Linked DNA regions of Daphnia pulex. The protein of the gene in region 1 binds, or shares a complex with, the protein of each later gene. Links are inferred from orthologs where the notes say so. Each region holds a gene or a part of one and is shown in the gene's direction. Other genes may lie near its edges.

The links. Proteins that work in one complex are often made in the same cells at the same time.
Region 2: kinesin-like protein Klp61F (region 1) and histone H2A deubiquitinase MYSM1-like share a complex: the UniProt entries of both Homo sapiens proteins name them as parts of the large chromatin remodeling complex. The link is inferred for Daphnia pulex from reciprocal best matches to the Homo sapiens genes KIF11 and MYSM1.

The regions. Positions count from the first base shown.
Region 1 is NC_060023.1:1,595,883-1,601,581, forward strand, and holds the start of kinesin-like protein Klp61F, read left to right. Parts: upstream 1-1,869; 5' UTR 1,870-1,947; coding exon 1,948-2,015; intron 2,016-2,089; coding exon 2,090-2,390; intron 2,391-2,463; coding exon 2,464-2,621; intron 2,622-2,698; coding exon 2,699-2,777; intron 2,778-2,878; coding exon 2,879-3,186; intron 3,187-3,305; coding exon 3,306-3,498; intron 3,499-5,699. Other genes in the region: succinate--CoA ligase [ADP/GDP-forming] subunit alpha, mitochondrial-like, read right to left, coding at 152-226, 292-426, 494-673, 743-847, 920-1,141, 1,204-1,433, 1,528-1,564. UniProt on the Homo sapiens protein: Motor protein required for establishing a bipolar spindle and thus contributing to chromosome congression during mitosis. Required in non-mitotic cells for transport of secretory proteins from the Golgi complex to the cell surface.
Region 2 is NC_060019.1:12,572,681-12,578,605, forward strand, and holds histone H2A deubiquitinase MYSM1-like, read left to right. Parts: upstream 1-1,896; 5' UTR 1,897-2,025; coding exon 2,026-2,078; intron 2,079-2,133; coding exon 2,134-2,233; intron 2,234-2,292; coding exon 2,293-2,499; intron 2,500-2,564; coding exon 2,565-2,911; intron 2,912-2,979; coding exon 2,980-3,752; intron 3,753-3,820; coding exon 3,821-4,146; intron 4,147-4,211; coding exon 4,212-4,410; intron 4,411-4,486; coding exon 4,487-4,602; intron 4,603-4,669; coding exon 4,670-4,782; intron 4,783-4,852; coding exon 4,853-5,057; intron 5,058-5,129; coding exon 5,130-5,300; 3' UTR 5,301-5,457; downstream 5,458-5,925. Other genes in the region: integrator complex subunit 1-like, read right to left, coding at 39-273, 331-413, 474-1,112, 1,186-1,382, 1,621-1,798; 25S rRNA (cytosine-C(5))-methyltransferase nop2-like, read right to left, coding at 5,689-5,895. UniProt on the Homo sapiens protein: Metalloprotease with deubiquitinase activity that plays important regulator roles in hematopoietic stem cell function, blood cell production and immune response.

The DNA.
Region 1 (5,699 bases):
GGAAATAAGAGAAGAACTTTAATAAAATTGTACAAACCGCGGGAAGTTTTTTTCTCTAATCTTTTTTATTAGTTTACAAAGATGGCTAATATTTCTTTATATAATCATCAAACCACACCTAATTTGATTGCCCTGGGTTGGTTATAAGTTTTCAAACTTTGCCGACCATCTCCTTCATCAATGTTGTGCCCAACTGAGCTGGACTTCGAGTAACAACAACACCAGCCTGTCAAGTTACAAATTTAGAAGTTTTAACATATCTACTCTTGGCGTTAAATTTTGTTAACTTACTCGTTCAAGAGCCATAATCTTATCTTGAGCACCGCCTTTGCCACCAGAAATAATGGCACCAGCGTGACCCATGCGTCGGCCGGGAGGAGCTGTCAAGCCAGCAATAAATGACACTACTGGTTTCCTGTTGTCACCCTGCAAAAATAGAATAAAATTGTGTAAGGAATTCGTTCATTTGGGAGTAAACAGATCGTAAGTATACCGAATTGTGTTGAGTCAGGTACTCGGCAGCTCGTTCTTCAGCTCCACCACCAATCTCGCCGATAAGAATAATTCCCTTGGTTTCTGGGTCATTAAGAAACACTTCCAAACAGTCAATGAAATTGGTGCCGTTGAAAGGATCACCACCAATACCAACGCAGAGAGTTTGACCTAGACCCACCTGTGAGTTGAACGAGACAAGTCCATTAGTAACAAACAATTGGATGAATAGGAAAATGGTGCAATTTACCTGAGTAGTTTGATGAACAGCCTCGTAGGTCAAAGTGCCTGAACGTGAAACGATGCCAACACATCCTTGTTGGTGGATGTGACCAGGCATGATACCAATCTTGCACTAAAGTTTGGTTGTTAATAAATAGTTGTAGCATAAGTTTAGTGTATGAAACAAGGTTAACAGATATATTACCTTGCCAGGAGCAATAATTCCAGGACAATTGGGACCAATCAAACGGGACTTGTTTTGCCTCATAAGGCGATGCTTGACCTTAACCATGTCTTGTTGGGGGATGCCTTCTGTGATGCAGACAATTAAAGGAATTTCAGCATCCATGGCCTCCATGATTGCTTTTGCTGCTCCAGGAGGAGGCACATAGATGACTGTAGCATCTGGTTGCACTGCTTCTTTAGCCTGTTTAGATTTAAAACTTTTAGCCATTTTATAATTTGTTGGAATGAAGGATTGAGATTTACTTCTAGAACGGTGTTGAAAACGGGTACACCAAGATGGATTTTGCCTCCCTTTCCTGGGGAAACTCCACCAACCATGTTGGTACCATAGTCAATGGCCTGCTTGCTGTGAAAGGTTCCTTGTTTTCCCGTGAATCCCTGGCAAAGGACTCGGGTTGATTTGGTCAATTTCATTTGATGTCTAGTTGACGAATAGCACCACCTGACACCGACATTTGGTGGCCTCACAGATACTATAATGACAATAATGGTTTAGAATGAAATGAACCATAGACACATACCTTAAAAATAATCAACCAAACATTTAAAATCAAAATATTTAATTACCCAAGAAAGGGGATAAAACTCGAGCAGCAGCGGCCATGTTTCGTGAATTTTGGTGTGGGATCACAGTCAACACAAGTTTAGTAATGAAAGCAACATTGTAAATTTTTTAATGAAAATACCACATTTTACATTAGTAATTAATTATACACTTTTATTTCAGTTTATTTAAAACTGAATTCTTTATTAATTTAATAATAATTTGAGTTTTTTCAACAAAAAATAGTTTGAACGATCGGATTTGACAAAATGGCAACGTCTAGCTCGCTTTCAAACTCTCAAACCTAACTGGCTTTTTGCTTTCTGCTGCCGGAACTCCCTCCTAATTTTACTCTCAGTCACCTCGATTAGATGACCGTTGCATAAAGTGCGCCATAGTCTTTGTTCGATTTTAATTAAAATTGCAAGGGTAGTGCTCAGATTATGAGCGAAGTGAAACGCAGAGAAATGAGAGATAAAAATCAAAATATCCAAGTCTTCGTCCGAATTCGGTAAGGGCGTTTATTTTTCTAACTGTCTTTTTGCAACTCAACATAACGTTATTTTTTTTGTGGAAATTTCCTAGGCCTGTTAGCTCGCAAGAGAAAGCAGCCCGTTCACCCATTGTGGTTGAAACTCAAGCTGGCAACAATAAAGAAGTGCAGGTGGTTGAGAAGAGTTCGCTTACAAAATCTTTCAGCTTTGATCGGGTCTTTGGGAGCAATTCAAAGCAAGTGGATGTCTATAAAGTTGTTGCCGCTCCATTGGTGGACGAAGTGCTGGCAGGCTATAACTGCACTGTATTTGCATATGGGCAGACGGGGACAGGCAAAACTTTCACCATGGAGGGTGAAAGGCATGACGAATTGTCATCTTCATGGGAAAATGTAAGTTTTTCGAAAACAGAACTTGTTCATGGTTAAGACTTTGTTTTTAATTTTGGTTTGTTAACTCTTTTAGGACCCTTATTCTGGAATCATTCCTAGAACGCTGTCACATCTGTTTGATGAATTGAGGATTCAAGAAGTTGAGTGTACAGTTCGTGTTTCATTTATTGAAATTTATAATGAAGACATCTACGATTTGCTGTCTGGAACTGATGACACTACCAAACTTCGGTGAGTCATTCATTACATTATTTTAACAATTTTGTGACCGTTTAGTAAAAACACATTTGTCTTTCAATTTGTTAAAGCTTGTATGATGACACAACCAAGAAGGGCTCAGTCATTATCCAAGGCATGGAGGAGGTAACTGTGCACAACAAAAATGAAGTGAGTTTTTCCTGATTTCTATTGTCTTCCATTCCAACATTTTAAGGCTGCGTTAAGTCCTTTGTTTACCATCTCTTATTTCATGGTTATTTATCTTACAGGTTTACAGTATTTTGGCTAAAGGCTCGCTCAAGCGTCAAACAGCAGCCACGCTAATGAATGCCCATTCGAGTCGCTCGCATACCATCTTCTCCATCACTGTTCACATCAAGGAGAACACCGACGACGGCGAGGAGCTTATGAAGATTGGCAAACTGAACCTGGTCGATTTGGCCGGGAGTGAGAACATTGGTCGTTCTGGGGCCGTTGAACGCCGAGCTCGTGAAGCTGGCAATATCAATCAATCGTTGCTGACACTTGGTCGTGTTATCACTTCCCTCGTCGAGCGTGCTCCACACATCCCATACAGGTATATAATTTAAACGAAATGATTCAACCGCGCCCAACAGCCACAAAAATGGATGCGTCATTCAACGCGTTAATAACGTTAAAATGGAAATGTTTCTCTCTTCTCTTGGAATCATTTAGAGAATCGAAACTGACACGCTTGCTTCAGGACTCTCTGGGCGGCCGAACTAAAACGTCTATCATCGCTACCATCTCGCCAGCGGCCGCCAACCTGGAGGAGACTCTATCAACCCTCGACTACGCCCACCGAGCCAAGAACATCACCAACCGACCCGAGGTCAATCAGAAGCTCACGAAAAAGGCCCTACTCAAGGTAATCATCGCATACTTGAGAGTGCGCGGAATCCTATCAGCTTTCTCCTCCGCCCTCATCTGACTTGTCTCGAAATATCCTGGCCGGTGTTAACGACCTATCCCACACTACTTACTGCCGCTGCTTGGCTTGACTAATGACAGGGCCTTTCCACACACGCAACCATTTGTATTTAAAGTTGGTGGTGGTGGTGGATGTTATTAGGAGTCCGTCTAGAGCAGTTTAGGTATCGTCCCTTACCAAAAGAGAGAGAAAAGACCACACAATCAAATGCTGAGTCATTCCTATTTTCCCTTCGAGATTCCAAAGTTATTTTTTCTCACTGGAAGGAACCGAATAGGAAGAAAATCGATTTTTTTGTTTTTCTTTTGGGGTTCCTGGGATGGGTCTGCATGGGGTGTTTATGGGAGAAGGAGGAGGAGGAGAAGTCGGGACAGATAGTCGGTCCCGCCCGCGGGTAAAAGGTGGAGTGTCTACAGAGGAAAGGTGGGGTATTCTTAGGCCAGAAAGGGCACGCGGACCGACTGACTGTGCGTCTGTTGTTGGCACTTGTTTTTAACAAGGAGGGAGAAATAGTTGAAAAGTCCCCCCAACCTCCTCCCACCCATTAAGCTCCTAAAAAAGTTAAACCGTCCGAGCAGAGTCGGTTGGAGAGTTGGAGATATTATTTTTCAATTTGCGTGGTGGACCGGCGGGGGGTATGGGGGGGGTTATGGACCTATTACTTGCAAAAACTTTTCGTGCCAATTTTGGGGCTCCTGATTCGCTCTCCTCTCTCTCTCTGGATGTTTAAAAAAAGATTGTTTTGTAGTTTTGTTTGCTGTTTTTCGTCGAAAGAGTTTGTTGGAGTCCCGAGGATTAGACTGGGCACACGTCAGTGGAGAGACCTCCGCCCCTGTCAAGGTTACAATGCAAATTAGCCGCGATATAAATACCCTTTTTGTCTTGCTGTGAGGGAGTGAGTCTGTGTGTGTGTGTGTGGACGTCGTGTGTGTGTGTTGTGAGTAGGCCGTTCGGGTCGTGTGGTGTCTGGTGGGGATTTTAGTTTTGTTTTTGTTTTTGAACTTGGCGCTTAAAAAATTGAGATGTATCCATCTCTTTTTATTTCTTTTCGATGGGCGTGTGTGATTAAGTTCCTTATTTGACTGGTTTATTCTTGTGTACACTATCGCCGTTTAAATTATCAGGGATATTTAAGGGACTTTTTTAATATTTTTTTTCTCTATCTCACTCTCTCGGGGCGGTCCCTTTTTTGTTTTTTTAACTTGTAGCTCCTTTTTTAACAAGAGGGTGGAGGGGGGATTAACTAACTGTTGAGGGGCTAGAACTTTGGGATCCTTTCCAGCCCGTGATGGATTGAAATTTGTCCGAGGGCCAGGTGCTGCGCTGCGCTTTTTTCTATTTTTTTTCTCCCTTGTGCGTCTTTTTGATGATCTTTCAATCTTGGCACATTCTTCGACCGAGATAAAAAGTGGAGAAAGAAGAAAAAATGGACGTTTGAATTGGAAATGAAAGGCAAGGATTTTTTTCTTTCGCTCGCCAAGCTGCTAAAAGGCGATGATTAAACGATCGGTTGTTTGACTAACTCTTGAAAAGATGAATGGGGATCGGTGATCGGGGAACGAGGTGGGCCTAAAGGTATTTTGACTGTCCCAAGTATTTATTTGATTGGTTAGGAGAAACGAGGGGAGAGAAAATAAAATAAAAGTTTTTCTTGGACGAATGCCTATCGTCGTACTACACATTACTCGTGCCTAGTCTAATTTTGTGTGAGTTGTCGTCCGCACCGGGGGTATAGACGAGAGGAGATGGGGGGTTCGGATTGTTGTTTTTTTCTTTCTGTTTTTTTTTGTTTTCTTCTTCGACCGAACTGAAAAACTCCCACGTAGGAGAGAAGAGAAACGCTAGAGAGAGAGAGAAAAAGTCAGCATGTCGAGAGTATAACCTCCCCTCATCAGCGTGAGATAGGGTCCATTTCAGTGCTCCCGACCGTCGTGAAAGGATGTGACTCTCGCTCGCTCTCTCTGCCGTGCTGGTGCTCCTTTTTTTTCCTCCCTCTCGCCGAGACAGGATTTTCTCGTGTGTTGTTGTTGTTGTTGTTTTTCCCTTCTTCATTGGGAGACCCCAGTTGTATAATTGATCGCTCGGTGTTTGTCTAGTGAGAGCGGTGCGCCTGTGAATGACTGAGTGCGTGTGAAATG
Region 2 (5,925 bases), on another chromosome or scaffold:
TTCTGAAATTAAAACAAAAACATTGACGTTATTACTACCTTTAATCTCAAACGTAGAAGAGCATTTAGAACATCTGTGTCTGTAGGAGCTTCGGTACTGCAATTGACGCAGATCGAGAGGAGGAGGTCGGTGGCTGGTCTCACAAGTTTTTGATTGGAAAGCCACATTTCCAATCGCTGGGCAGCTTGAGTTCTTACAGCGGGCAAACCAGCTGTTGATGTCAAAAACTTTAAGAAGTTCCTTGTAGTGAGGTCAGATGCCGGTTGCTGCCGTCTGAGAAACCATTGATTATATTACCCTAACCTTAATGCAACTCAAATATTTTAATACCTGCTTAAATGTTGATTTACTATTTCCATGACAAGTGCTTCTGCCATGTCTTTGAGATGTTGAAATCGAGGAATAACTCGAACCTAAGAAAAAGGTAACAATGAAAATACAACTATGTGCATAATTTAAATCCCACTTGTTACCTGTTGCTGATCGAGATGAGTTGAACCTCGAAGCAGCCCACCCTGACTGTTATCTGAATCCACGCTGGCATCATCTTCAAGACCAGTGGTGCCAAGAGAAGTTATACTAGGAGAACTAGCAGCACCAGAAGATCCAAGTCCAGTGCCAGTAGCACTTTCTTGTTGAAGGATGTTCCTTGAAGGGACTTTGGTGTTGAATGCCGTTAGGATATTCTCGACAAACCCTTGACATTCTTCGCGATCTACCCAAACTCGTTCTCCAACGGAATCTTCGACAAAAACTTTCAAGAAAGATTCTGGCCATTCCGTTGAATCTTCTAGACCGGCTAACAACAAATTGCAAGCCAGTGAAGCTGCAGAAGCAGTTGTCCTTCCTTTAAAAGGACCAATACTGGCGGTAACGTCTCGTTTGAGTAATACCAATAAAGCTTCAACAATCAATTCGGTGTTGAAATATTGCGATCTCCATTTAGCTAAGTAGACAAGGGCTAGTGCAAGAATGGGTTCCACTTTATTCCGTTGACTCAGACTAAAGGCTTTCAGTTGCTTAACTGATCCACATAGGATTGCTTCAATTCTTTCTTCATCATCATTACTTTCAGCCTCTCCAATAGCATTCAACAACTCTGATGCTTCAATCTTGAATAAATTTTTATAAAGAAACATTATTTAAAGATAAATTGATAAAATCCAGAAGATTGAGTAACTCTACCTCTATAGCAGCTTCTTCCCATGGCTCTAGTCTGTTACCAGTCGAACCTGGACTGGGAGGATCAGCAGCCTTCAAAGCAGGTCTTCCCAATGCAGTAAAGGATGCAGTATTTGGGAGCCCAGGCTTTGCTTTCTTAGCTGGATTTTGAGATGAACCTGGCAGCTGGCTTGGTGCTTCCCGCTTTTTATCTGAAGGACCTACACAGTCATGAAACATATCATTCTTTAAGGCTAATGTACAGACTGAAAGAATAAATAATAATAGTAGCTGAACCGAGTTAAAAGAGATTGTTAAACAGGAATGTGGATAAGTTTAAAATTTTATAATCCATGTTCAAACTTAATTTATAAAAGGATATGATAAGCAAGTTATTGGTCAGGGTCAGGACCAGGGAAAGAAAGAATGGAAATAGAAATATTTTTGTTCTCATTTTACCCAAAGAAGGAAGTGGAGCAGGAGTGGGTTTTGATGGACCACCTGAAGAAGATCCTGATTTCTTTGCATCAACTGGTTCTGCTCGACTTTGCTTTGGTCCAAGAGCAATAAAATCACCAGAGAATCCAAGGGGTTTTGACTTGGAGTTTTTAGGCGGCAAATTCTTGCCCCGATCCATTATAACTACCGTCCAGCATTAACACCTCTTCGAAACTGATTTTGTTTTTGGTTGAGCCGAGTCTGCGAGTGTCTTCTGCAAGAAAGCGTGGTTGCATTTCTGTTTGTAAAGCGAATCGCATACGACATTTTCCTCCCCCCCCCCTCAACACGTCGTCTGCAGCAAATTGGCATATAATTAGTGATAGAGGCATCAAGCTTGTTGTGAAAACACATTCGTTAAGAAAAATGGAAGACGACGATGAAGTTGATGTTCTAGGGGATTTCTGTCTAAATCTTGAGTATGTACAAGCTTTTGTTTGCATGTTATTTGTACTAACTGACATTTGATCACAGGACGGATTTGAACCAATACGATGCCGGGGAGTTTCCTACACAGAATTCGGAATTATTGGGCGATTATATGCAACATCCTTGGCTTCTTGAAAGTTCACAAGTAAATTTTTATTCAAAGTGGTTTATATTTGGGTACAGCAAGATCTAACTTTCTCACAGGTTTGGAATATGCCAATGATGGATCATGCCAATGAAGATAAGAACAAAACACTTAATTGGGAGAATATGCTCCATGAAGAGAAAAAACACTTTTCAAACAGTTTACCCATGGCAAACCCTCCATCAACCACAACATCTGCTGTAGTTGCTTCAAAAGTGAGTCCTATGTGGACTAAAGATGATGTTGCATCTCTTCGTAAAGGAATTGTAAGTGTCGGAGTGGTTACTGATTATGGCAGGACTGTGTAACTTACTTGATACTTTTATTAAAGGGTCTACACAATCAAAATTGGAGCAAGGTTGCTAGAGCAGTTGGAACCAAGACTACTCTTCAAGTGAAAAGTTACATTAAATCACATCCAGAACTTATTACAAGTTCCTCAGTTCACATTTCCAATACCCCATCACCTCCTCAGTTCATCAATGAAGTGGAAGTTACAAACGAAGAACCAACCTTTCACTTTTCTATGGGTGACATTGTTTATGAAGCAGAAGTCCCTGCTGTATCCACAGAAGAAGTAATTGCTAGTGTGGCACCTACCAAGTGGGACTTGACTCCGACAAAAAATAGCAAAAAGACGAACCGTTCAAAACCAAAATCTCCTACAAAAGAAATAAGGTATGACAAATATTTAAACAATAACTGCCATTGATTCAATATAGATATTTTTAAAATTCTTTCTTTAGGCGGGTAAAAAATCCACTCTTAGTTAAGAAAGCGCCTGGAAGACCTAGGAAAATTTCAAAAGACTTATCCGTCCCCCAATTAACAAATTGTAATATAATAATTGATGATGCCACACTTACAAAGAAACCGGTTCCCATTCTTCAAGGAGAAATTATTCGATTACAAAGAACAAGTGAACTAGTAGATTCTAGCGATTCCGAAGTTGATATTGATTGCAGTGACGATGAAGAGGAACGTACAGCCAACAAACCTCCAACCATTTTAAAAGAAACCCTAAAATTACAGTCATCTTCTGATGATTCTTCTGTTCCAATTAAAAACGAAATTCAAGAAGCTGAAATCATAGAAACTCTGGCACCACCACTACCACAGCCGTCTGAGCCATCAACAAAATACGCACAAGAAGATAAAAGTGAATGTGAATCTTCTGAGACTGATTCCAAGAACCCAGATGTTGGATTAATGGACGCTGAACCCCCGCAGCCCGTCTTCACGTTTCCAGCTCCCCTAGAAGAGCGAACCGTTGCATTTACTATTATCACAGATGAGGAAAAGACGATTCATTGGGATTTCTTTGAGGGTCGTCCCAGTAAAACACCGGAAAGGTACATGAAGATTCGTAACAGCATTGTTCAAGAGTGGCGCAGAGTAAAACCACGTTACCTCACGAAAACATCCGTTCGTCCTTCCCTCAAAAACTGCGGAGATGTTAATTGTATCAGCCGAGTGCACGCTTACTTGGAATTGACAGGGGCCATAAACTTTGGATGTGGTATGCTTTTCTATCTTTGATATTTCTACACAGTTCATTTAACATTTTTATTCGTTCAAATCCTACAGATCAGGTACAATACAACCGTCCGTTGCCACCAGTGCCCTGCCATCGAGAGAGAATGGCGAACAGCAGTACTCATTTTGTGAACAACCTTCCTCTCATTTCCGGACTACCAGCAAGGGTCAGGAAGAAGAGACCCCATCATGAAAATGGAGACGAGAATGGCGGGTACACAATCAGCCACGACGGCTCTCAAGGGAGCTCATTCATTTCGAATTCAGGATCTACTAGTCCACAAAAACAAAAACCGAAAAAAAGAACAAAACCACAACTTGAGGAGAAATCTCCTTTTCAGTTAGTTCCATGTCTAAATTTCGGTGGCGAGAAAGAGGTATCTCTTTGTTATTTGAATGAAATTATTATGGTTTAATTGGAAAATGTTTCTCTTTGTTAAAGGCACCTTTCAGCGTACAACTTTCGGTGGAAGCGCTTGTAGTTATTGACCTCCATTCTCATACTTGCACAACAGAAATTATTGGCTTACTTGGAGGCCACATCTATCCGGGATCGGATAAGTCTCCGGCTACGTTATCCATCGAAGCCGCCCAACCGTGTCGAAGTCAGGCAACTAACCATCAATGTGAAATGTGTCCTAGTAAGATTGTTTTGTTTTTTCTGCTGATCAAATCACACTTCATAAAAACTGAACTGTGTAATTTCTGCTATTACAGTTTCACAAACAGAAGGCAGTGAGGAGTTACGATCTCGCGGTCTTGAAATTGTAGGCTGGTATCACTCTCATCCGACATTCCCTGCCCTCCCTTCTTTACGCGATTTAAATACTCAGGTGAGCATAGAGTGTATGTCGTCATGTCTTTGATTACACATTCTATATTTGTAATGTTTGCTTTTAGAACGAATTCCAGCAATGGTTTTCCCGGCAAGATGCGCCTTTCGTCGGCCTAATTGTTAACCCCTTTTCTTCTTCTGGGATCAAAACATCCATGTCTCTCAAATCGACAATTCGGTAAGTAGTTTCTAGTTGCGTTTAAAGTAGACTCAAAGCTAACAATCAATTGCAACACATTCGAGTATAGATGCATCACCGTTCATGACGATTTACCGTATAAACATGAGCTACCGGTATTCGATTGCGGGGCAAATGAATTGAACAAAGTTCGAATAACACTTGATGTTTTGGAGACCAACCTAGATCTGTGTCCAACTTTGGTCCCCCTCAACAGCAAGTATCCTTACCTTCCAACGCGTTCCGAAGACGGGATTTTGAATTACGCTAAAAAAGTGAGTTGCTAAACCGTAAATTTTTTAGTTTGTTATCAGTTGTAATACTTACTAATGGATATTTTTCTGCAGGCTCTGTCTAGTATAAGAGCACACTTGGAGAACGTAGTTACAGGGTCACTTATGAATGACATCGAGGAACTAGCTGAAGGATTCCTGAATCGATTAATAGCACGTCATGCCAGTCGTGTAATCGTCTCCCCTGTTTTTACGAGTACCCTACCTTGCAGCGACTCCAATTAATTTATCAGTACAGGTTTACTGATTATGATTGAATCAAATCATCCTCCTCTTATGAGAAAGACCACGCTCACATGTACATATAGCATGAATTTTAATCCGGGCGACTTCTTGTTGTGTTTTCTTTGTTCTGAACTTTAATAAATCAGACACACTTTCATTTGTTTTCTTGGCAAGTAATTCAGTTCGAAATTCTGGTCAATTAAAATATTGCGATTAGAAACCAAAGGTTGAGGTACTACATAATATTGCTGACGTGTCCTGTTTGACATTCCGCCACTAAGTAGGGGATAAAATGATCAGACGGACTTGGTGACACTATGATTATTATAAATATTGGGGTAGGATTAACGTTATCTCGACTTTTATGTGCTATTGTATGTACATGTTGTTATGTGCATGGATAATATGCTTCGAAATACTGATAGACGTTAACGAGAAGGAAAGCAATAATGGAGCCAATAGCTGATCCCACCTGTGTGAATACTCCAAACCAAAACAGGTTGCGATTTCCCTTTCCTTCTTCCATACGGAAAAGAGACGCAATGCTGACTTTGACGTACGTCAGGAGGCCGACGCACAGGATCCACGAAAGAATCTATCAATTGGAATGAAAAGCTTTTTATCA